Caenorhabditis elegans: one gene and its partners. The protein of the gene in region 1 purifies or fractionates together with the protein of each later gene. This does not show direct contact. Each region holds a gene or a part of one and is shown on either strand. Other genes may lie near its edges.

The links.
Region 2: the proteins of gcn-1 (region 1) and T26E3.4 fractionate together in Caenorhabditis elegans (co-fractionation; one large-scale study listed by BioGRID). This does not show direct contact.
Region 3: the proteins of gcn-1 (region 1) and sftb-1 fractionate together in Caenorhabditis elegans (co-fractionation; one large-scale study listed by BioGRID). This does not show direct contact.
Region 4: the proteins of gcn-1 (region 1) and snr-1 fractionate together in Caenorhabditis elegans (co-fractionation; one large-scale study listed by BioGRID). This does not show direct contact.

The regions. Positions count from the first base shown.
Region 1 is NC_003281.10:2,150,354-2,154,951, reverse strand, and holds the start of gcn-1 (TOG domain-containing protein), read right to left. Parts: upstream 3,008-4,598; 5' UTR 2,969-3,007; coding exon 2,909-2,968; intron 2,717-2,908; coding exon 2,513-2,716; intron 734-2,512; coding exon 1-733. Other genes in the region: frl-1 (GBD/FH3 domain-containing protein), read right to left, coding at 3,741-3,877.
Region 2 is NC_003279.8:12,663,416-12,669,393, forward strand, and holds T26E3.4 (RWD domain-containing protein), read left to right. Parts: upstream 1-1,694; 5' UTR 1,695-1,704; coding exon 1,705-1,833; intron 1,834-2,015; coding exon 2,016-2,087; intron 2,088-2,663; coding exon 2,664-2,904; intron 2,905-3,692; coding exon 3,693-3,812; intron 3,813-4,445; coding exon 4,446-4,549; intron 4,550-5,262; coding exon 5,263-5,319; 3' UTR 5,320-5,478; downstream 5,479-5,978. Other genes in the region: T26E3.5 (F-box domain-containing protein), read right to left, coding at 1-168, 223-308.
Region 3 is NC_003281.10:4,263,239-4,270,900, reverse strand, and holds sftb-1 (Splicing factor 3B subunit 1 domain-containing protein), read left to right. Parts: upstream 1-1,630; 5' UTR 1,631-1,634; coding exon 1,635-1,778; intron 1,779-1,850; coding exon 1,851-2,130; intron 2,131-2,176; coding exon 2,177-2,839; intron 2,840-2,891; coding exon 2,892-3,635; intron 3,636-3,685; coding exon 3,686-3,773; intron 3,774-4,177; coding exon 4,178-4,412; intron 4,413-4,462; coding exon 4,463-4,732; intron 4,733-4,791; coding exon 4,792-5,727; intron 5,728-5,774; coding exon 5,775-6,203; intron 6,204-6,252; coding exon 6,253-6,318; intron 6,319-6,705; coding exon 6,706-6,819; 3' UTR 6,820-7,118; downstream 7,119-7,662. Other genes in the region: R10E4.1 (BTB domain-containing protein), read right to left, coding at 1-273, 482-630.
Region 4 is NC_003282.8:17,086,020-17,089,449, forward strand, and holds snr-1 (Small nuclear ribonucleoprotein Sm D3), read left to right. Parts: upstream 1-2,029; 5' UTR 2,030-2,039; coding exon 2,040-2,115; intron 2,116-2,165; coding exon 2,166-2,293; intron 2,294-2,344; coding exon 2,345-2,551; 3' UTR 2,552-2,831; downstream 2,832-3,430. Other genes in the region: snx-13 (Sorting nexin-13), read right to left, coding at 318-416, 468-709, 786-907, 956-1,157, 1,204-1,310; Y116A8C.43 (Lipoprotein), read left to right, coding at 2,832-3,002, 3,128-3,334, 3,386-3,430. UniProt on the Caenorhabditis elegans protein: Plays a role in pre-mRNA splicing as a core component of the spliceosomal U1, U2, U4 and U5 small nuclear ribonucleoproteins (snRNPs), the building blocks of the spliceosome.

The DNA of each region.
Region 1 (4,598 bases):
AAGCCACCACAATCCCGATTCCAGCTTCACGAATCTCCGGATCCGTGTTACAAAGCGAGGAAATCGTAGATTTGAGCAAATCCTGAGCACAAAAGTCGAGCGAGAAGCTGATGTGCTCCAAGAGCCCACGGATTCCGAAAATCGCGACTTCAGGGCTCCGGAGCAGTGCTTTTTTCATATTTGGCAGCAAATTCGTCTCAAAATCCGGCGATTTTTGGAGAAAAACCGCGAATTTCGAGATTCTCGTGACGAAAAATTGCGGTGGTCGGAGCTTTGGGAGAAGCTGGGATTTTGTGAAAATTTCGACGAAAATTGGAGCAATTTCAGGAGTTTTCGCGGCTCCAAGAGCACCAAAAGCCGAGATCAGAGCCAACGATTTCTCGGGATTTTCCTTTGAAAATTCCCCGATTTTTGCGGTGAAAACATTGGAAATCTCGGGATTTTTCGCGAAAAGCTGAGCCAGCTTCTTTGTGAAAACACGCCAAGCTTTATCACTAGCAGACATCCAATAGGCGATTGCTCCGAGAGCTCCAAAGATTTCCACAGCATTTTCAGCGCAGGAATTTCCATCCAAACAGGCCAAAAGCCATTTCATCGTTGGAACTTGTGAGAGACTATGGGATTCCGTGAGATTTGGGATGATTGGAAGAGCCGTGGTGATTGTTTGGAGCAGTGATTTGAGTGTGGAGATGGGATCACGTTTGGCGAGCACTTGGAGCAATTTTGAGACGGCCTGGAAGGAAATTTTTGTTGAAAAATTGGAAATTTCAGTGATTTATGAGGATTTTCGGTTGAAAAAACCGAAAAATCTGGAATTTTTGGCTGAAATTTCATGGAAAAGCTCAATTTTCGCAGAGAAAATGTGAATTTTCGACGGGTTTTCGTGAAAAAAATCCAGGTAATTTTCCGGAAAAAAAATGTTTAAAAATGCGAATTTTCACTGTTTTTATTGAAAATTCCGATTTACATTCAAAAAATTTGGAAAATTCCGACTTTTTTAAATTGGAAATCCAGAAATTTCGACGATTTTCGTCGATTTTCAGCAAATTTTTCGTGAAAAATCGGAAATTTCAGTAATTTATGGGGATTTTCAGGTAAAAAAAAAGCGAAAAATCGGGAATTTTCGGTTAAAATTTCATAGAAAAGCTCAAATTTCAGAGGAAAAATGTGAAAAAATGCGAATTTTTACTGTTTTTCGTAAAAAAATTCCGATTTCATTCAAACAATTTGAAATTTTGACGGGTTTTTCGGCAAAAAAAGCGAAAAATTTCCACTTTTTTGAATGGAAATCCAGAAATTTCGAGGATTTTCGCCGACTTTCCGGTGGGATTTGTGAGAAATCCGGGTTTTTTAGTTGAAAAATGAGGAAAATCTCGAATTTTTGACTGTTTTTCGTAAAAATTGGCAATTTTCAAGACTTTTTCTGTAAAAAGTTTGAAAAATTCCAACTTTTTGAATGAAAATCCGGAAATTTCGAGGATTTTGGTCGATTTTTCGTGGAAAAATGCGAAAAATCTGGAATTTTCGTCTGAAATTTCATGGAAAAGCTTAATTTTTGCGGAAAAATTGCGAATTTTTGACTGTTTTTCGTAAAAATTGGCAATTTACCGGACTTTTTCGGCAAAAAAAGCGAAAAATTCGGACTTTTTTGAATAGAAACACGGGAATTTTGAGGATTTTCGTCAATTTTCCAGTGGAATTTGTGAGATTTCCCAGCGTTTTTCGTAAAAATTCCGATTTTTATCCAAAAATTCGAAATTTTCATGGAGAATTGAACAATTTTGACGGATTTTTCGGCAAAAAAAGCGAAAACTCCGGTTTTTTGGATCGAAATCCAGAAATTTCAGGGATTTATGGGGATTTTCGGGCGAAAAAACCGGAATTTTTTACTGAAATTTGAAAGAAAAGCCCAATTTTTCGGGAAAATTGTGAAAAAATGCGAATTTCAGACCGTTTTTCGAAAAAATTCCGCATTGTGTCTTAAAAATTTGCAATTTTCCGGACTTTTTCCGGAAAAAAATCGAAAAATTCCAACTTTTTGAATGGATATTCAGAATTTTTTAAAGGATTTTCGTCGATTTTCAGGTGAAATTGTGTGAAAAATCCGGGTTTTTTCGGGAAAAAAATCTTATATTATCTGATTTTTCCGTTGAAAAAAGAGAAAAATCTTGAATTTTCGTAAAAATTTCCAGGGTTTTGAACTAAAAATGATAAAAACTTGACAATTTCTCGGATTTTTCTGGTAAATAACCAGAAAAATCCAACTTTTTGAATGGAAATCCGGGAATTTTGTGAAAAATCGAGATTTTATCAGTATTTCAGGTGAAAATCGTGAAAAATGTGGAGTTTTTCGACGAAGATAGAGGAAAATCTGCAAGTTTTGAGAATTTTTCTGCAGAAATAGCAATTTTCAGGTGAAAAATTGCGAAATTTTGCACAATTGTCACGAAAAAGTCCAATTTTAGGCTAATTTTCTTCGTTTTTTCGACACTTTCCAGCTTTCTTCCGCTACCTGAAAGGATTTTGGCTGTCCATAGAGCCGAATCGAGTTGGCAATGCTCATTTTGACGAGCCCCTTCACAAATTGAGCCGGAATTTCCGTTGAGCGGCGCTCGATGAGCTTCGTCAGAGCGGCGTAGGCCATTCCATGAGCCCGAAGGCTTGGATTCGAAACTGCCGACGAAAAACGGCGGATTTCTTCCTTTAATGCGTCCTCCTGGAATTAAAAAATAGAGTTTTTGGGACATTTCTGGTATTTTCACTGTTTTTTCGCGTTTTTTCGCGATTTTTTGGAAATTTTTCTGGATTTTTCAATGAAATTCACATCTGGATGCAAGTTTCTAAGCTTTTTCAAGCTTTTGCAAGCCTTTCCAAGCCGAAAATCGAATTTTAGGCCTCAAAACCGAACCTCGCTCAGATTTTCCGTCTTCTCCTGAACATGTTCGCTTTTTATTTCATCGTCAGACATTTTCCACTATCAATAAAGTGTAACCCGTCGTTGAATGATCTGAAAATCGGGTGAAATTGCTTGAAAATCGAAAATCTGAAATTTCCGCCTAAAAAAGTCGATTTCAACTCGATTTTGTGATGGATTTTAGCATTTTATGGCTTGAAAAGATCGAAAATTCATGAATTTTAGGTTATAAATCGAAAAAATCGAGAAAAACGGCTGAAAATTAAGAAATTTAGGCTTAAAACAAATAATTAAATCATTTTCAGCGTTGGAAAACACCAAGTGCCGTAAGATTAAATGCCCGGTCCGCAGACACGCGCACGCAAAATCACGTACCTCATTTGCGCGGGTGTTTGAATTCGAATTTTCTCCATTTTTTTGAATTTTCTTTATTTTTAATTTATTTTTACGCAGAACACTTTCTTTTGCAATTTTTTCAAACATTTTTCAAACAAATCAAATTTATTCATTAAAAAATCATTTTTAAAAAAAGAAAAACAATAATATCGCGTATTGTAACCGGTTTAAGGGGGGAAACCAAGGAAAAAAGTAGAAAAAAAATAATTTTCCGCACAAAAAAGCGAAAAAATTCAAAAATTCAAATAATCACGGGGGAAAAAAAAGGGGAAAAACGGCAAAAATGCAGAGAAAAAGTGTGAAAAATGCCCGTAACACACGTGGAAAGGGGGGAAATTTGAATTTTTTGTTAGAAAAAATGGGAAAAAACGGGGAAAACTAGAAATTTTCATATTTTACACGAGAAAATAAATGGGAAAATCGATCAAATTTATTGTCGATCCCTTTCAACACTGACGACTCGAGTTTTTGGAGCAACTGGCGGTGGTGCGGAGCCACGTGGCGCTGGAGACGGCGATTTTGACATTTTTCGGCGATTCGGAGTGGTGCCGCCCGTGTGTTTGAGACCTGGAAATTTGGAAATTTTGGAAATATGTTAAAAAGAATTTTTAAAAAAAATTTAAAATTAAAAATTTTTTTTTTGAAAAAAAAAAATTTTTTTTTTCGAAATTTTTTTTTAATTTTCAGACTTTTCTAGTCGAAATTTCAAATTTTTATCATCAAATTCGAATTTCCCGCCTAATTTTACCCTTTAAAACATGTTTTCCGGGCTCTTAGCTCAAAATTTAAATTTCGCGGGGTACGGTAGCTCCAAAAGTACGCAAACACCGCAGAGCCTACGACAAAATGCAGAAATGCTCGAAATTCGACGAAAAAAACGTCAAATATGGGTAAAAAGTGGCGGGGAATTCGAATTTTTTATTAAAAACCCCAAAAATCAGTGATTTGTTTTGAAAAATGAATTTTCGTCCAAAACACTAAAATTTCAGACCGTTCCAGTCGAAATTTCAAATTTTTATTATCAAATTCGAATTTCCCACTTATTTTTACGCCTTAAAACTTGTTTTCCGGGTTCTTAGCTCAAAATTTGAATTTCGAGGGGTACGGTAGTTCCAAAAGTACGCAAACACCGCAGAGCCTACGACAAAATGCAGAAATGCTCGAAATTCGACGAAAAAAACATCAGATATGGGTAAAAAGTGTCGGGGAATCCGATTTTGGCATTAAAAATCGGCGAAAAATGATCCAAAAATTGAGAAAAACGAAAAAAATCCGTTTTTTCCCGGGT
Region 2 (5,978 bases), on another chromosome or scaffold:
GGGAGTTGGTATCCTTGAAAACTTAGAATGATTTCGATAAGATCTTCACAGGCAATAATCGAAGCAGTGAAGTAATCCTTTCTTGAGGCTCTCTTCAACATTGTAAAAGCTCTGATGGACTTGGAAACGAGGTGGTTTGAGTTTTGTGAAGTGGCAAGAAGGGAAAAACTGAAAATATAACAATTAAATATATAGCTAGATACTATTACAAAAATAACTTACATTTCTAAAATGTTCATGTGATCCGTTACAGCGGTGAGTGCGGTTGATGGGAGTTTACAGATAGGGAAAGGCACAAGAGAAGTCATTTGTTGACGTAGATAATAACGAAATGAACAGAGGTGGCTGGATGGAATGGTAAGACGCTCTATGTATTGGAATATTGGAATATCGATCCAGGGTTTTCAGATATTGCCAGCGTTTCTGCGACATGCCACCTGAACTGTGCGGCTCTTTTCTCGGTGCATCTTTCAGTGTTTTAGCGAGAAAGAGTTTGCGAATGATTATACTAGTTAAATAGCTGGAGCAATAAGCTTATCATTAGAAAAATTAAATTTTAAACAAAGTGGTTGTAGATATAGATATACTTATACATATAGATATACACATATATACATATATATAGACATATAGATATAGATAGTTGTAGATATACATACGCCTTGAACCAAAGAGCCGAGAGCCGAGAGCCGAATCATTTGGCTCTCGGCGCATTTCGAGTAGTATGGAATGATCTGTACACTTTTTTCCAAATTATATTTTTTATGAAAAGCTTATTGCTCCAGCTTTTCAACTAGTATAATCATTTGCACACTCTTTCTTTCTAAAGCACTAAAAATGGAATTTTCAGATGCGCCGAGAAAAGAGCCGCAGAGCCCAGCATGCTACACAATTCCCGGGCTCTGTGCGAATTACGTACTATTAGAGACTGCTGGACAATTTTTTGATATCACTTAATTTTTGAGATACACCGCTTTAACCATTATACTTCAAAATTTAGAGTGTCGCAGAACATGTTAAGTTTGAACAGATGTAACTTTTTTACCGTTAATGCAATCAACAAATTTCAACCAATTTGATATGTTACATAGTTTGAGGATCATTTTGTTAATTGAATAAGTTTTAATAGCACTCTTAGTTTTTGAGATACATCTGCTTAACAGTTGTACCTCAAAATGTACAGTGTCGTGAAACATCAAAAGTTTAAGCGAATCTAACTTTGTCACCATAACTGCAATCTAAAAACTTTCAACTAACAAAATGATTGCCATAGTCTGAGGACCATTTCGTTAGTTAACAAAATTTTGATAGCACTCTTAGTTTTTGCTATACATCGCCTTTCTGTAAGGTCTCAAATTTTCGAGTATCCCAAAAGCTCACAATATTTTTTTTCGATATTTATTCTGTCAAAACAGCATCTTCAGCTATTTTCAGCGGATTATATTTCCGTTTTTTTGCAGGGAAAATGGTAATTTATCGACTTTCATTGAAACTCTATCATTACCCCTATTTCGAAATCGATTTGGTTCTGCAAATCGTAAAAATATCATCAATTTCCGAGTTATAACTCCTCGATCGAAAAACTGCGATTCAAATCGGCGCCAATTTAAAGTCCGCAAACACGGCGGCGCGCACTTGCGTACTTTACACCAGACTTTACGAGCATTCCAACAAACTGGATTTTTCTCGCGTGAAAGCCGAGAAATGTCGCATCAGGAGCAACAAGAGCAAGAAATCGAGGCTCTCGAAGCGATTTATTCGGAAGAAGAAATTCACGTGGCAAGCCGGGATTATCCGAACATTGAACTATCGATTCAGCTCAAGTCAAATCAGGTTTGTCATGAAAATTGTGATTTTTTCGAGAACTCTTTGATTTCAACGGGTTAAACTGTGATTTTCGCTTGATTTAAATAGAAAAATCGAGATTTCCGTCGAAAACTACCCCAAAAATTTACGGCAAAATTTCAATTTTTAGCCTAATTTTATCAAAAAACTCAATTTTTCCCGTTTTTCAGTACGAAGACCCAACGGACGACGATTTCGACGTGGAATTAGGCATCGAATTTACCGAAAATTATCCAGATGAGGTAAAATCCAGGAAAAAGCTCCGAAAAATCGATTTTCAAGAGGAAAATCTGAAAAACTGAATTTTACTGGAAAAAAAATAGAAAAACCGATTAAAATGACCGGCAAAATCTGAGAAAATGCGATTTTAGACTGGAAAAAGCTGGAAAATCTCGTAAATTATTCAAAAGAGTAGAAAACCACCAAAATTGCTTGAAAAATACAGAAAAATCATTAGGAGAAATTTTAGGAAAAAATCACTAGGAACATTTTTAAGGATAAGAATTGACGGTTTTCACTAATTGCAATCAGTAAAAGCAAAAATACCGGTTAAATTCTCTGAAATCAGCCGAAAATCCGATTTGTCGATTTTTTGTGCTAAAAATGGCTAAAAACGCCCAAAAGTAACCTATTTTTCAGAAATTTGCTGAAAATGTCTAATTTTAAGCCAATTTTGCTCTAAAAACCATGAGTTCAAGCCATTGTTAGGCTGAAAATTGCTGAAAATCTCAATTTTCCCTGTTTTTTTTTCAGATTTTCCCCATCAGAATCCTCATTTTCAAGCCATTTTTGCCCTAAAAATCCCCAATTTTTTCCAGATTCCAATAATAACTCTGAATGGAATTGAAGATGCATTCACAGCCGAACGAATCGCCGAATCAATCGATAAATTACGTTCTGTTGCCGAAGAAAATCTCGGAATGGTTATGGTTTTTGCAATTGTTTCAGCACTTCAAGATGAAATTGGAGAGCTTGTTGATGTGAAAAAACGTGCAAAAGAGGAAAAAGTCGAAATTGAGAAAGAGAAAAAAGAAGCCGAGAGCCGCAAGAAATTTGAGGGTAAAAAATGGTTGAAAATCTGTAAAAATCGGAGAAAAATGGACAAAAATTGATCAAAAGACACTGAAAATCCCCAAAAACAGGAAAAAATCCCTGAAAAATTGCAAAAAAAGTGATTTTCAGCTTAAATTCCCCACAGAATTCAATTTTTTCGTCTAGAATCCGCTAAAATTTGCTGAAAATTGTCGAAAAACAGCGGAATTCATATAAATACGTTCAAAACCGCTTAAAACTCGAAAAATCACCGATTTTCAGTGAAATTTTTAAATTTTTATAGGAAAATTCACGATTTTCTTCATCGAAATCGCTAAAAAACGAATTTTGAGCTGAAATTCATCAAAAATAGCATGAAAGTGCCGAAAATTCGGCAAAAATGGGCTGAAAACGCGCCCAAACGGCCAAAAATCACCGAATTTCATGTAATTAGCGGGAAAATTGCGCAAAAACAGCTGAAAATACCAGAAAATGCCGAAAATTTACAAAAATCGGTGAAAATTTGTGAAAAATCTTCGAATTTTACGATTTTATACGGAAAAATTTGTAAAAATCTAAATTTTTCGCTGTAAGACCTAAAATTCATAGGGAAAAGTGCTTAAAATGTTGAAATTCCACAAAATTTCGCGAAATTGGCTATAAAAGTACAAAAAATTCGAGAAAAATGCTCCAAAAGCACTCAAAATTGCTCGAATTTTTTGAAAAATGTCCTAAAAGCCTTGAAAAATCTGAACAAATGTCTCAAAAACTCAAGAAAATGTTATAAAATGGCCAAAAATCTCCAAATTTTCCAGGTACTGTAGTGACACCGGACACATTCCGAGCCTGGAAGGACAGATTTGATGAGGAACGGAAAGCTGAAATTGATGCAGCTGAAAAAGAACGATTGGCATCGTTGGCTGGACGATTAACAGGTGAAAAGCTGTGAAATTGAGCATTTTAGAGCCGGAAAATTGAAGAAAATCGCAGTTTTTCCATGAAAAACGTTGAAAATTGCGATTTTTCAGTGAAAACCTGTAAAAATCGCGATTTTTAACATGGAAAATGGCGGAAAAATGAGGATTTTAGGGCGGAAAACCCCAAAAATTGCAAGTTGCCGCCTGGAAAAACGTAAAAATTGGCGGTTTTCATGCAAAAAATTCGAGATTTTCAGTTAAAAATCAAAGAAAAAGGCTATTTTACGCATGAAAATGGTTAAAAAGTGCAATTTTCAACCGAAAAAACGTAAAAAACCAGAGATTTTTAACCGGAAAATTGGAAAATTGAAGAAAATTGCAGTTAAAATTATCGGAAAATCCCCATTTTTTCAGAAAAATTCACAAAAAAACTCGCAATATCCCGAAAAAATGCTATTTTCCGTCTTTTTAGTGGAAAAAATCATAAAAATCCCGATTCTTGCGATTTTCTACGCCAAAATTATCGAAATTTTGAACTTTTTCAGGCGAAAAATTCATTTAAATCCCATTTTCTGGCTCCAAATCTCACAAAAAATGTGATTTTCCGTCTGAAAATCGCTGAAAATTTCAAAAAAAACCAATATTTTCCAGGACGTCAACTATTCCTTCGTGACGCTACACTCAATCTCTCTGACGTCACACTTATTGGAGCACAAGATGAAGTCGAAATTGATGAGAGCCTCTTTGATAATGAGGTTTCTGGAAAAAACCACTGAAAAATCGATTTTTTACTGAAAATTTACGATTTTCTATTAAAAAATTGCATGAAAAACATGCAAATTCATTGGAAATTGTCGATTTTCGAGTTTTTTTCGGTGAAAATCCGAAAATTTTTTTTTCTTTTTTGAAACGTTCCCTTTTAAAACCTGGAAAAATGTAAAAATTCGCTAAAATCCCCATTTTTTCACTGAAAAATTAGACATTTTTTACTCAAAATTTATTTTTCCATGGAAAACTCTGTTTTTGAGCTAAAAAAAATGCAAAAAATCTGGATTTTTCCGAAGAAAAAGCTTCAAAATTTACAAAATTTGGCATTTTTGGCTGAAAATTCACGATTTTCCACTTTAAAAGTGAATTTTTTGTGATAAACTTCATATTTTCTATCAAAAAATTGAAATTTTCTCACTAAAATTCCGATTTTCTATGGAAAAAACGCCAAAATTCCCACATTTTTCAGTGAAAAGCTACTTGAAAACGCGAAAAATTGCAATTTTATTCCAAAAATTGTTCGAAATTTCGAGTTTTTCTCATAAAATTGATTAATTTCAAGATGAAAATTCGATTTTACTGCCTAAAATGATCAAATTTTCCGATTTTCAACATAAAAAACCTCCAAAAATCCCATTTTTTAGCCTAAAAAACCCCAAAAAATCTCAAATTTCCACTCAAAAAAACCCATTTTTTCCAGGAACTCGAAGGTCTTGAAATGGATTCCGAAGAAGAAGAAGAAGACGATGAAGAATAGGATTTCCCCTCAATTTATTGCATTTTTCTGTGATTTTTCGCCATTTTTTCGGCGAAAAATCCCGTAATTTATCCATTTTTTTGCCCCCCAGTTTTTGTTGATTTTCACGGTTTTTCGTTTCAATTTTTTCCATTTTTTTGCGTAAAGATTTGTTTTAGTTTTAACCTTTTTTTTTGAATTTTTCGCTGTTTTTATCAGCTTTTTTATCGATTTTTTATTGAAAATTTTTGGCGATGAGTCATCAGTTTTTATCAAACTTTTTTGGAGAGTTTTGTGACTCATTTTTACTCAATTTTCAGCGGAAATTTGGTGTTTTGAAGGTTTTTTTTGTAAAAATCGCAAAAAATGCGATTTTTAGCTTGAAATTTCATTTTCCGCTAGAAAAATGTTCAAAATTGCCATTTTTTGGAATTTTTATTCAATTTTTCTACTCAAATTTCCTAAAAATGTCTATTTTCCAACTCAAATTCAGTTTTTTTTTCCGTTGAAAACTGTTCAAAACTCTAACTTTTAAATTAAAATTCAATTTTTTCCATTGAATAATTATTTAAAATCCGATTTTTGATTAATAAATTCAAAAATTATTCACTTAATAATTTTTTCACTTAAAAAAGGTTCAAAAATGTGAAAAAATCCAATTTTCAGCCGAAAAAATCGAT
Region 3 (7,662 bases), 2.1 Mb from region 1:
TCGTAGAGCATTCCGAAGTTCATAGTTTTAATGACATTCACTGTGATTTCTACTCTCATACTTCTCAGCTTCTCTCGAACCATATGATCTTGAAGCTTCAATGGACGAAAGTAGACATGATTGGATCCTGTATATCGTCCAGTAAACTTTTCGCTTCTCACAGAGTTTGTAACGTGAGCCCGAATTTCGAATTCAACTTCCGCTGACCAGGTGGCTGGAGTTTTGAAGTAAGCAGCAAAGCATTCGAAGGAATTTGCACGCAACTCAATTTGCCTGACAATTCAGTTTTGTTATGGGATTATATTATTTCTCAGAAGCAACGTTGATCGATTTCCGTGCAAAAATACGGTTTCTCGAAACGACAATAAAGAGTACTGTAGTTTCAACTTCTTAAAAATTATGTTTTTTTTTAACCATAAAGCCAAAATTCAGCGTTTTTTCCAGAAAAGTGAACAATTTATCGTTTAGAAGTAAAACTGACCATTTCATACACTTCAAATGAATCCAATATCTGTAGACTTTGTGCTCCTCGTCTAGGACCAAATCAAGAGTCTTGCTACTCTTAAAATCATCACTTAAATCCACAATATCCACTGGATACTCTTCAGCGGCAGCCTTGTTCGGAGCCATTTTCAGACTTTACCCTGAAATTTTCGATAAGATTTTGTTGGGGAAAAAAGAATCTCATAAAAGGAGAAAAGGCATGAACTGAAAAAGAAGCACGTGGCAGACCGAAAAAAACGGGGAAATCGATAGAAAAGGGTTGTAGGGGCAAGGAGACATCTAAACAACACACATGCTATATGCTGCCCCAGTATTCTGCGTCTCTTCTCTCTCTCTCTCTCTCTATAAGAACGAGAAAGCAAAAACATGATAAAACCACTTAAAAAAATAAGAAAGCTTTTATTTTAAATAAAAATTTAAAAATAAGAACATTTTAGTTATGCTTCAATTTTAAAGTGGCCACAATGTTGGTGAAAAAAAATTAATTTTTAAAAAAGTTCACAATTTTATTGGAAATTTGCTTATAAAGTCGATATACGTCGAAAGAAACACTAAAAAACAACAAAAAACAGAAAAGACCTACTAAAACGAGCAACTCACCATATTCCAAATGAAATGTCAAAACTCTTGAAGTGAACACAATCTTCGATCTTCCTCCACTGATCGGAGAGCGCGCCAGCAGGTGCTGTTGGCGCGCGACCGGTGCATTGACGCGATTCTCGTGCAAAATTTCGAATGCAATTTTCGCCTTTTAAGGGACAGTTTTCAGTTATTTTACGTTTAAAAACTTTTAAATTATTTAAAAAAAAACAACAGAAAAACTTTAAATATTGTTGTCTGTCTGATGTTCATAAAAATTCGTAAGATAATCCATTATTTTTCAAGGGTATTAATATTTTAGTTTCTTGAGTGTATTTCTTTGAATATTGTTCATTGTAAAAGGATTATGGTTTCCATTTCTTTTTAGTGATTTCATTAATAAATTTTTGCAATTGTTTATTACAATTTGAAAATGGTTTCGCGCAAGCTATCGAAGTTTAGGATGTTGTTTTCTAAATCTTTTCTAAAAAAAGTTTTTTTCCTTCCAACTTTAATCTTTCTTCCATATAATCAATATTGATTGTAGATCGATGTCTCGTTCAGGCGAGGCTTATGCGCAGGAGTTGAACCGCAAAAGGGTCGCAAACCAGCGTGCCGCGGCAGCCGAAGACAACGATGAGAATAAGGGAAACGGAAATAAAGTGGCCTTCGGAGCCGCTGGTAATTTCGACACGGTTAGTGAATTCTAATACTTTATTTGAAAATTTGAAAATTCTCTATTACTTTTTGAATCTTTTCAATTTCAGGATGTTTACGGAAGTGTTCGTGGTGAAAATCGGGATAGTTACCTAGACTCGATTGGAACCGGAGAAGAAGATGACGTCGATGAGGATTCGATGCCGAGTGTACAAAAGAAAAGTACAAATTATGCACAGCCACACAAATTCATCGAAGAGGTGGCTGCTGCCTCCGAGGACACTGATCCATTCGCAGATACTCGCACAAAAACCATCGCAGAACGACAATCCAAGTATCACGAAAGAGCTATGAGGAGACAGATCTCTCCAGACAGAGCGGATGCTTTTGGTAAGATCGAAAATCATTTTGACTTTAATTAAATTTATTCTTTCAGTTGATCAAACTCCTGACAATCGGAATCGAGGTTACGCAGAAGTTATGCGTGATCAGATGTACCATGAAGAGAAAGGGCGTGTTGAACGGGAGCTTGCCGATCGAGCAAAAGCTGGAGAGCTTCATGTTACTGGACAGCCAGAGAAAAAGAAAGGAAGATGGGATGCTGAAGCTCCATCAACTGATGCATCTTCTGATAATCTTGGTGCAGCTTCTGCAACTCCATCTCAGGGTTCTGCTCCACGAAAAAGATTAGGATTTTCGAAGATTAGTGCAGATGCAGCAACACCAAGAGCTGCTAGATGGGATGAAACACCGGCTCACTCGACTGGAGCAGCTGATGCAACTCCTTCTGTGGATAAATGGTCAACGACTCCGGCAGCACAGACCCCGAGAAGAAATCGTTGGGATGAAACTCCAAAAGAGAATCTCAATGATGGATCAATGACACCGGGATGGGGAATGGAGACTCCTGCTAGAGGAGGATCAGATGATGTTAAGATTGAGGATACTCCATCCGCATCGAAGCGTCGTTCACGATGGGATCTGACACCATCACAAACTCCGAATGTGGCAGCAGCTACTCCACTTCATTCCGGATTACAGACACCATCATTCACACCGAGCCACCCTTCACAGACTCCAATCGGAGCAATGACTCCAGGTTTATTACAAAATATTGTAATTAATATAAAATTAATATAAAATATATTCAGGTGGAGCAACTCCAATTGGAACGGCAGCAATGGGAATGAAAACACCAGCTCCTCATATGATTCCAATGACACCTGAACAAATGCAAATTTACCGATGGGAGAAGGAAATTGATGACAGAAACCGTCCATTGACTGATGAAGAACTCGATTCACTATTCCCACCTGGCTACAAGGTTCTGGTTCCTCCAATGAACTACATTCCTCTGAGAACACCATCACGGAAGTTGATGGCCACTCCAACTCCAATGGGTGGAGCTGCTGGTGGAGGATTCTTTATGCCTGGAACACCAGATAGAGATGGAATCGGAGAGAAAGGAGTCGGTGGTCTGGTGGATACTCAACCTAAGAATGCAGAATTACCACCTCTAAAGCCAGATGATATGCAATATTTCGATAAGTTGTTGATGGATGTAGATGAGAGTCAACTCACGAAAGAAGAGAAAAATGAACGGGAAATTATGGAGCATTTATTGAAAATCAAAAATGGAACCCCGCCAATGAGAAAGAGCGGATTGAGAAAAATAACAGAAAACGCGCGAAAGTACGGAGCAGGTCCACTTTTCAATCAAATTCTTCCACTTCTCATGTCACCATCGCTGGAGGATCAAGAACGGCATTTGATGGTAAAAGTTATTGATCGAATTCTATACAAATTGGATGATCTCGTCAGACCATATGTGCATAAGATTCTTGTCGTCATTGAGCCACTTCTTATCGATGAGGATTATTATGCAAGAGTTGAAGGTTTGAAAATTTAGAATAAATTTTAAAATTTAAAAATTAAATATTTTCAGGTCGTGAGATCATTTCCAACCTTGCAAAGGCCGCTGGATTGGCAACAATGATTTCTACAATGAGGCCTGATATTGATAATGTTGATGAGTAAGTTTGTCGACAGTTTTGTTGATTTTTCAATTAAACAAACACCAAATATATGGTTGTTCAATTTTCCCTGGAAAACAGTAAAAAAATTGAAGAAATATTAAAAATTAGTTTGAAACTATAGAAAATCTGGCAACTTTTGGCCATTTTTGAGAACTTTCTGAAACGTTCCAGCTGAAATTAATGTTAATTTCAGATTAATCAAGTGATTTTCTATAGGTTTACACTAGTTTTTAATTTAAAAAAGTCCGAAAAGACCGAATTTTTTCAAAAAAAGTTTTAAAAATGTATTTTTTAGATTTTTAAAAATCTCACTATGAAATTCGGTATTTGCGGGTCAGTTTTAATGAATTTAAAGCAGAAAAAACATCACAAAGCTTTTAATCAAACCCAAAAATTTGCAGATATGTCCGTAATACAACCGCTCGTGCATTCGCTGTCGTCGCCTCAGCTCTCGGAATTCCAGCTCTCCTCCCATTCCTTAAAGCTGTGTGCAAAAGTAAAAAAAGTTGGCAGGCTCGGCACACGGGTATTAAAATTGTTCAACAAATGGCCATTTTGATGGGTTGTGCAGTATTACCACATTTGAAAGCACTTGTTGATATTGTTGAAAGCGGATTGGATGATGAACAGCAAAAGGTTTTCTTTTTAATTTCTAAAGTTTCTGGAATTGATGCAAATCGTTTCAGGTCCGAACTATCACTGCTCTCTGCTTGGCAGCTCTCGCCGAAGCTTCATCTCCATACGGAATTGAAGCTTTCGATTCAGTGTTGAAACCTCTTTGGAAAGGTATTCGTATGCATCGTGGAAAAGGTCTTGCTGCATTCCTTAAAGCTATTGGTTACCTGATTCCATTGATGGACGCAGAATATGCTTCATATTATACAAGAGAAGTGATGCTCATTTTGATTCGCGAGTTTGCATCGCCAGATGAGGAAATGAAAAAGATTGTTTTAAAGGTGAGTGATATAATAACCAAAACATTCGTAGAACTATCGTTTAACATTTAAATTTGCAGGTTGTCAAGCAGTGTTGTGCAACAGACGGAGTAGAAGCGAGTTACATTCGAGACGAAGTACTTCCAAGCTTCTTCAAAGCATTCTGGAATCAAAGAATGGCTATGGATCGTCGTAACTATCGCCAATTGGTTGATACAACTGTGGAAATTGCTCAAAAAGTCGGATGCGTTGAGATGATTGCTCGAATTGTTGATGATTTGAAGGATGAAAATGAGCAATACAGAAAAATGGTTATGGAAACAATTGAGAATATTGTAGCGTTGCAAGGAGCGACTGATATTGATGCTCGACTTGAAGAACAACTGATTGATGGTCTTCTTTATGCTTTCCAGGAACAAACTCAAGAAGATTCTGTGATGCTTGATGGTTTTGGAACAATCTGCTCAAGTCTTGGACGACGTGCCAAGGCATATATCCCACAAATCTGTGGTACTATTCTGTGGCGTCTCAACAACAAATCTGCAAAAGTTCGTCAACAAGCTGCTGATTTAATTGCCAGAATTGCACCGGTTATGCATATGTGTGAAGAGGAGAAAATGATGGGACACATGGGAGTAGTATTGTATGAGTATTTGGGAGAAGAATATCCAGAAGTACTTGGATCAATTCTCGGTGCATTGAAAGCAATTTGCAATGTTATTGGAATGACCAAAATGACTCCACCAATCAAAGATTTGCTGCCAAGATTGACACCAATTTTGAAGAATCGTCACGAGAAAGTGCAGGAGAACTGTATCGATTTGGTGGGAGCAATCGCTGATAGAGGATCTGAATTTGTATCTGCAAGAGAATGGATGAGAATCTGTTTCGAGCTTCTCGAATTGCTTAAAGCTCACAAGAAAAGTATTCGAAGAGCTGCAATTAATACATTTGGATTTATTGCAAAAGCTATCGGACCACATGATGTTCTCGCAACGTTGCTCAATAATTTGAAGGTAGGCTCGGATTAGAAGTGATTCTTTTAAAATAAATTATTTTTCAGGTCCAAGAACGCCAGCTCCGTGTGTGTACAACAGTCGCCATTGCCATTGTTTCGGAAACTTGTGCCCCATTTACAGTACTTCCAGCAATTATGAACGAGTATCGTGTACCTGAAATTAATGTACAAAACGGAGTTTTAAAAGCTCTTTCATTCATGTTCGAATACATTGGAGAAATGGCAAAAGACTACATTTATGCAGTTGTTCCGCTGCTCATTGATGCATTAATGGAAAGAGATCAAGTTCATCGTCAGATTGCAGTCGACGCAGTTGCTCATCTTGCTATTGGAGTTTATGGATTTGGTTGTGAAGATGCACTTATTCATTTATTGAATTATGTGTGGCCCAATATGTTGGAAAACTCACCGCATCTTATTCAACGATGGGTGTTTGCATGTGAAGGAATGCGAGTTTCGTTGGGACCTATTAAGGTTTTTATTTTAAATTCTTAATAATTTCAAAAATTAAAATTCATTTCAGGTTCTTCAATATTGCCTGCAAGCTCTTTGGCATCCAGCGAGAAAAGTTCGAGAACCAGTGTGGAAGGTAATTATTTTAGTTTCCTTGAATTTTCAATTACAGAAATAGTGGAAATATTCGGAATATAGCTTTTAAAATATTTATAGAATGTTTCTAATTTTTTAATGATTTTTTTCAATTGAATTTTTATTTTTCAGAGAAAATTTATTTTTATTGTGAAATATCTTCTTTTTTTTCGACCAAAAGTGAGCGACCGGAAAAATTGAAAAAGGAAAAAATTAAATACAGGTTGCGCGGGAATTCAAAAATGTTTTGGTACTTCTCAAATTTTCCGCAAAATTTAAAAAAAGATTAGAAAATTTCTATAAATTTTTTAAAATTTGTATTCGGAATATTGAGACGTTTTTTCCACAAGCGCTAAATTTTTATGTAATTTCATATTAATATTTCCAGGTCTTCAACAACCTAATTCTTGGCTCCGCAGATGCTCTTATTGCCGCCTATCCACGTATCGAGAACACCCCAACAAATCAATATGTCCGCTACGAACTTGATTATAATCTTTAAATAATTTTCTAATTTTTGTTTTTTTTATTTGGATCTCGATAACTTATTTTTCTATCTCCGTGTTCCCTCCCTCCTTTCATCACATTTTCATAGAAAACGAAACCTTTTATATTTTAATCCCATTTCCCTCCAAATATTCTCTTGAATCTAGATTAATCTAACAAAATTGTTTTGGTTGTCAGTGGTTTTTTTTTGTTTTTCTATTACTTTTCTCCAATATCAATCAATTTATTCCCAAAAAAAAAAACAACAACAACTCTTGCGATAGATATTTAAAATGAAGACTTGTCAAATTATTTTAATGTTTTAAAGAAATCCCTTTTTTTTTGTTGAAGTCAAATTTCGCTTATTTTTTCTCGTTTAAAAATTTTTTAAATACCTTAAAAAATATCAGAGTTTCCTAATACTCTCCAAATATAAAAATAATTTTCTAATTTTATTTTTGGCAAAATTATCTTTAAAAAAGAAATTTTACAAATTCTTTCAATATTAGTTCCTTAAAAACGAAAATTTTGCGCTTTTTGCAGCAACAGTACAGTGGCTGGTCTCGAAACGACAAATGTGTATTAAATGCAAAAATGGTGTGCGCCTTTAAGGATTACTGTAGTTTAAGAATCTCTTTGTTACGGAATTTTCATCGATTTTTCATAATCTTCTTTCAATTTTTATTTTTCTAATCGAAAAACTTTTGTTTGCACAGAATTTTCATCGATTTTATCTCAAAAATATATTTACTCATACAAATATTAAAATACTTAAAATTTGAACAAAATCTATGAAAATTATGCAGCTACGATATTTTTGTTAAACACATTTTTGCATTGAACTAAAATTGTCGCGTCG
Region 4 (3,430 bases), on another chromosome or scaffold:
TTCGATTTTCAACAAAAAATCAATAAAAAATTATTTTTTCTATAATTTTTTTTATTATTTTAGGCAGAATTAAATTTAAAACGCAAAAAACCGTGAAATCCTGCTAGAAAATACGTTTTTCATGCTTGTCCACGAGTATACTCGTGGCTCGCAAATCTACACATCTTTTAAAGGGACATTGACTTTTTTTTCAGAAAAAAATTAAATTTTCCATCAAATTTCGGTCATTTTTTGTCTTTTTAGAAGAAAATTCGATTTAAAAATTGATTTTATTTTTTCAATTTTTCTCAATTTCCTGAATATCTTCCGACACTGACCAACAACTTCTCGAAGCAAGAATCTCAGCGGCCGACATCTAAAATCTTCCGGTGGCATTATTAAATAGAGAATTATATCGACAAGATCATGAAGATAGGCTGAAAAATCGGAAAAAATTGAATTTTTTCATCGAAAATCTCAATTTTTACCATTTTCATAATGCGGTGTAGTTGAAAGAAGATCTCTACACAACGATTTTTCCATTTCCAGCTCAAAATCAAAGAAATTGCTGAGCAATTCCGCTTCCAAATCTTCAGGGGATAATGTTTTATCTTTTTCCTTCGCTTGAAATGCAGTTCTTTCCTTAGCTTTCCGGAAAAGCCGTAAATGAGAAGCAAAATCGTCGACAACGTCACGCGTGAGCAATGGAACCCAATCAACCTGGCGGAGACTGGAAATTTGAGATTTTATTGATTTTTTTCCATTTTTTGTTTTATAAAATAAAATTTTATTAATGAGCTACACACCATTGTGTCAATGAGGCAATTGATCTTCGGGAGGTTCTCTTTAAGCTTTGTTCAAAAATATTATCATTTGAAAGTGTTTTATACCAAAAGCCGACGTAATCCCGTGTTATATTGCCGAGAATCTAAAAAAAAATATTTTTAATAACATTTCAGTCCACATAAATCCCTACTTGTTCTAAAACCAAATCTAATTGCGGTGAATTGCACATTGAATGCACCTCCACATATTGATTTTGCTCTTTGAGTCGTTTTCCATTTTTCAGCAGAGCCTCAATTCCCGCAGATAATTTTCCTTTTTGCAGATTTTCGGATAAAATTCCAGCGATTTCGTCATGTTTTTCGTGTCCCGTTTGATAGAAAATGTAGAGAAATCTGAAGGTATTCCAGTTTAAGGTTTTTCTAAAGAATTAAAGCTTACCCCGCTACGAAACAGAGGATACTGGCTGGAAGAACGATTAGACCGGTTGAACCGAATGTTGCTAGGAAAAGGACTACAGCAAGGAGAATATAAAGCCGATTTGACATTTTTCTAGAGAATTTTCCGATTTTTCTTCATATTTTACATAAAATTATGGAAATTCATCTGTAAAATCTGGTAAATAATTAAAAAATTCTATGCGCATTCCGTAAAACTAGTATCTCGGGGACAAGGGAACGTGAGATTTGAAATAGTTTCTGGCAGCTTTACAAATGAAAATTGCTGTATTTTTTTAGTATTTATAATTGATTAAGAATAATATAATAGTTTTCATTTAATTAAATATTTAAATTTGCATTTTACATAAATGCTAGTCTCCAATTTCGGCGTTCTTGCGTCTCCGGGAAGTTAACTTCATGAGGCCCTTCCCGCAAACGCGCCCCACTGCACACGCTGCGTGCTGCGTCGCGTGCCTTATTTTCGAATTTTATTCCCTTCATTTTTCATTTTGAGCTCTTCATTTTTCGTAATTTTTAGAAAGAAAAACCGTTTTATTTCTAGATTTTCTTCAAAATAAAGTTCTAAAACACATTTTTCTCATCTGGAAATCCATTTGTTGCCACATTTTTCTTGCAACGCGTGCAAATTCTAGAATTTTCCGAAAAAACTTCATTTTCGGGGTTTTATTCCTTTTTTGTCTATTATGCTCAGCATATTTCAAATGAGAACAAACTTTACCGTGAAAAGTGTGAAAATCTGAAATTTTAGGCGATTCTACTTCTTTTTTCTAACGTTTTCTCCCTTCAAGCCGAATCTACAGAATCAAAATTTTCAGAATGACTTCAGTTGGTGTCCCAATCAAGATTCTTCATGAGGCCGAAGGTCACATGGTCACGCTCGAAACCGTTACAGGTAATCATTTTCGAATTTCCCGTCGCTCAATAAATACTTTTCTATTCCAGGCGAAGTTTACCGAGGAAAACTTTCTGAAGCCGAAGACAACATGAACTGTCAGCTGGCTGAAACCGTTGTGACTTTCCGCGACGGAAGAAGTCATCAATTGGACAACGTTTTCATTCGCGGAAACAAGGTTTTTCACCATTTTTCTCTAAATTTCAGCTGTAAACCAATCAATTTCCAGATCCGATTCATGATTCTGCCGGATATGCTCAAAAACGCGCCAATGTTCAAAAATATCGGAAGAGCCCAGAAAGGAGCCATTGGAATGGGTTTGGGAGGTCTCGATCAGCGTGGAAGAGGACGTGGAACCGCTTTCCGTCGACCAATGGGCCGTGGAGGACCACGTGGAATGTCTCGCCCGGGAGGAGCTCCAACGTTCCGTGGATAAGCACAACACGGCGCAAATATAATCAATTCTCTGTATTTTTTCTCTCTCTCGAGTCCCCCATTCTTCCAGTTTCTCTTCTTTTCAAAGCGTGCGCAGACCGTTGAATTTGACGTGATCTCCTGCTTGTCCCGGCTCCGCACTTTGTTATTTGTTGAATCATACTTCATTTTTCATAAATTATTTTCCAGAAAAAAGACGACGACAAACTGGTTTCGGAGATTTCCCTGTAAGATTACCACAATTCCAAAGTGTGGTATTCGCCTAGAATATAACTGGCGAAATGGTAAATCATTCGCCAGTCGTCTTCTTTTTGTTCTCCTTATTCTTTTATTCGCATTTAAATGGAGCATTCGATGATGCAGAGCATTTTCCAAAAGGGATAGAGGATAGAGCCAAACTTTTGGCACGGGCAGACCAGTGTGTGCTAAAATATTTAGAGTTTACCGGCAAAGTGAGTAATTTTTCGCAAAAAATTGAGCGAAAAACTTGAAAATCCACGTTTTTTTTCGAGCCGCTCCGCTTGCTATTGCGTCGCGGTCGCGAATATTCTGTTATTTTTTTTATTTCTCTGTTCAGAAGCTTTCACATCTGCCGTACACTGTAAAACGATGTGCTCTCTCGGAATATTTCACTTGGGAAGAGTCTGGAACATTTTTTCCGTTTCAAAAATGCAATAATTTCGTGTTTTTCGGGGGAAATTCCCTCCAAATATTGAATAATACCGATTTTAAGATGCTCAATTGCAAATATTTGATTATCGATTCGAGGGAGAACCTCCGTGGAGTTTGTAGTTTATAGTCGAAGAAATGAACTTTTAAATTCTGAAATTTTCAGCTTGAAAATTATAAAAAAGTAGATGATCTTTCAAAATCACAACTA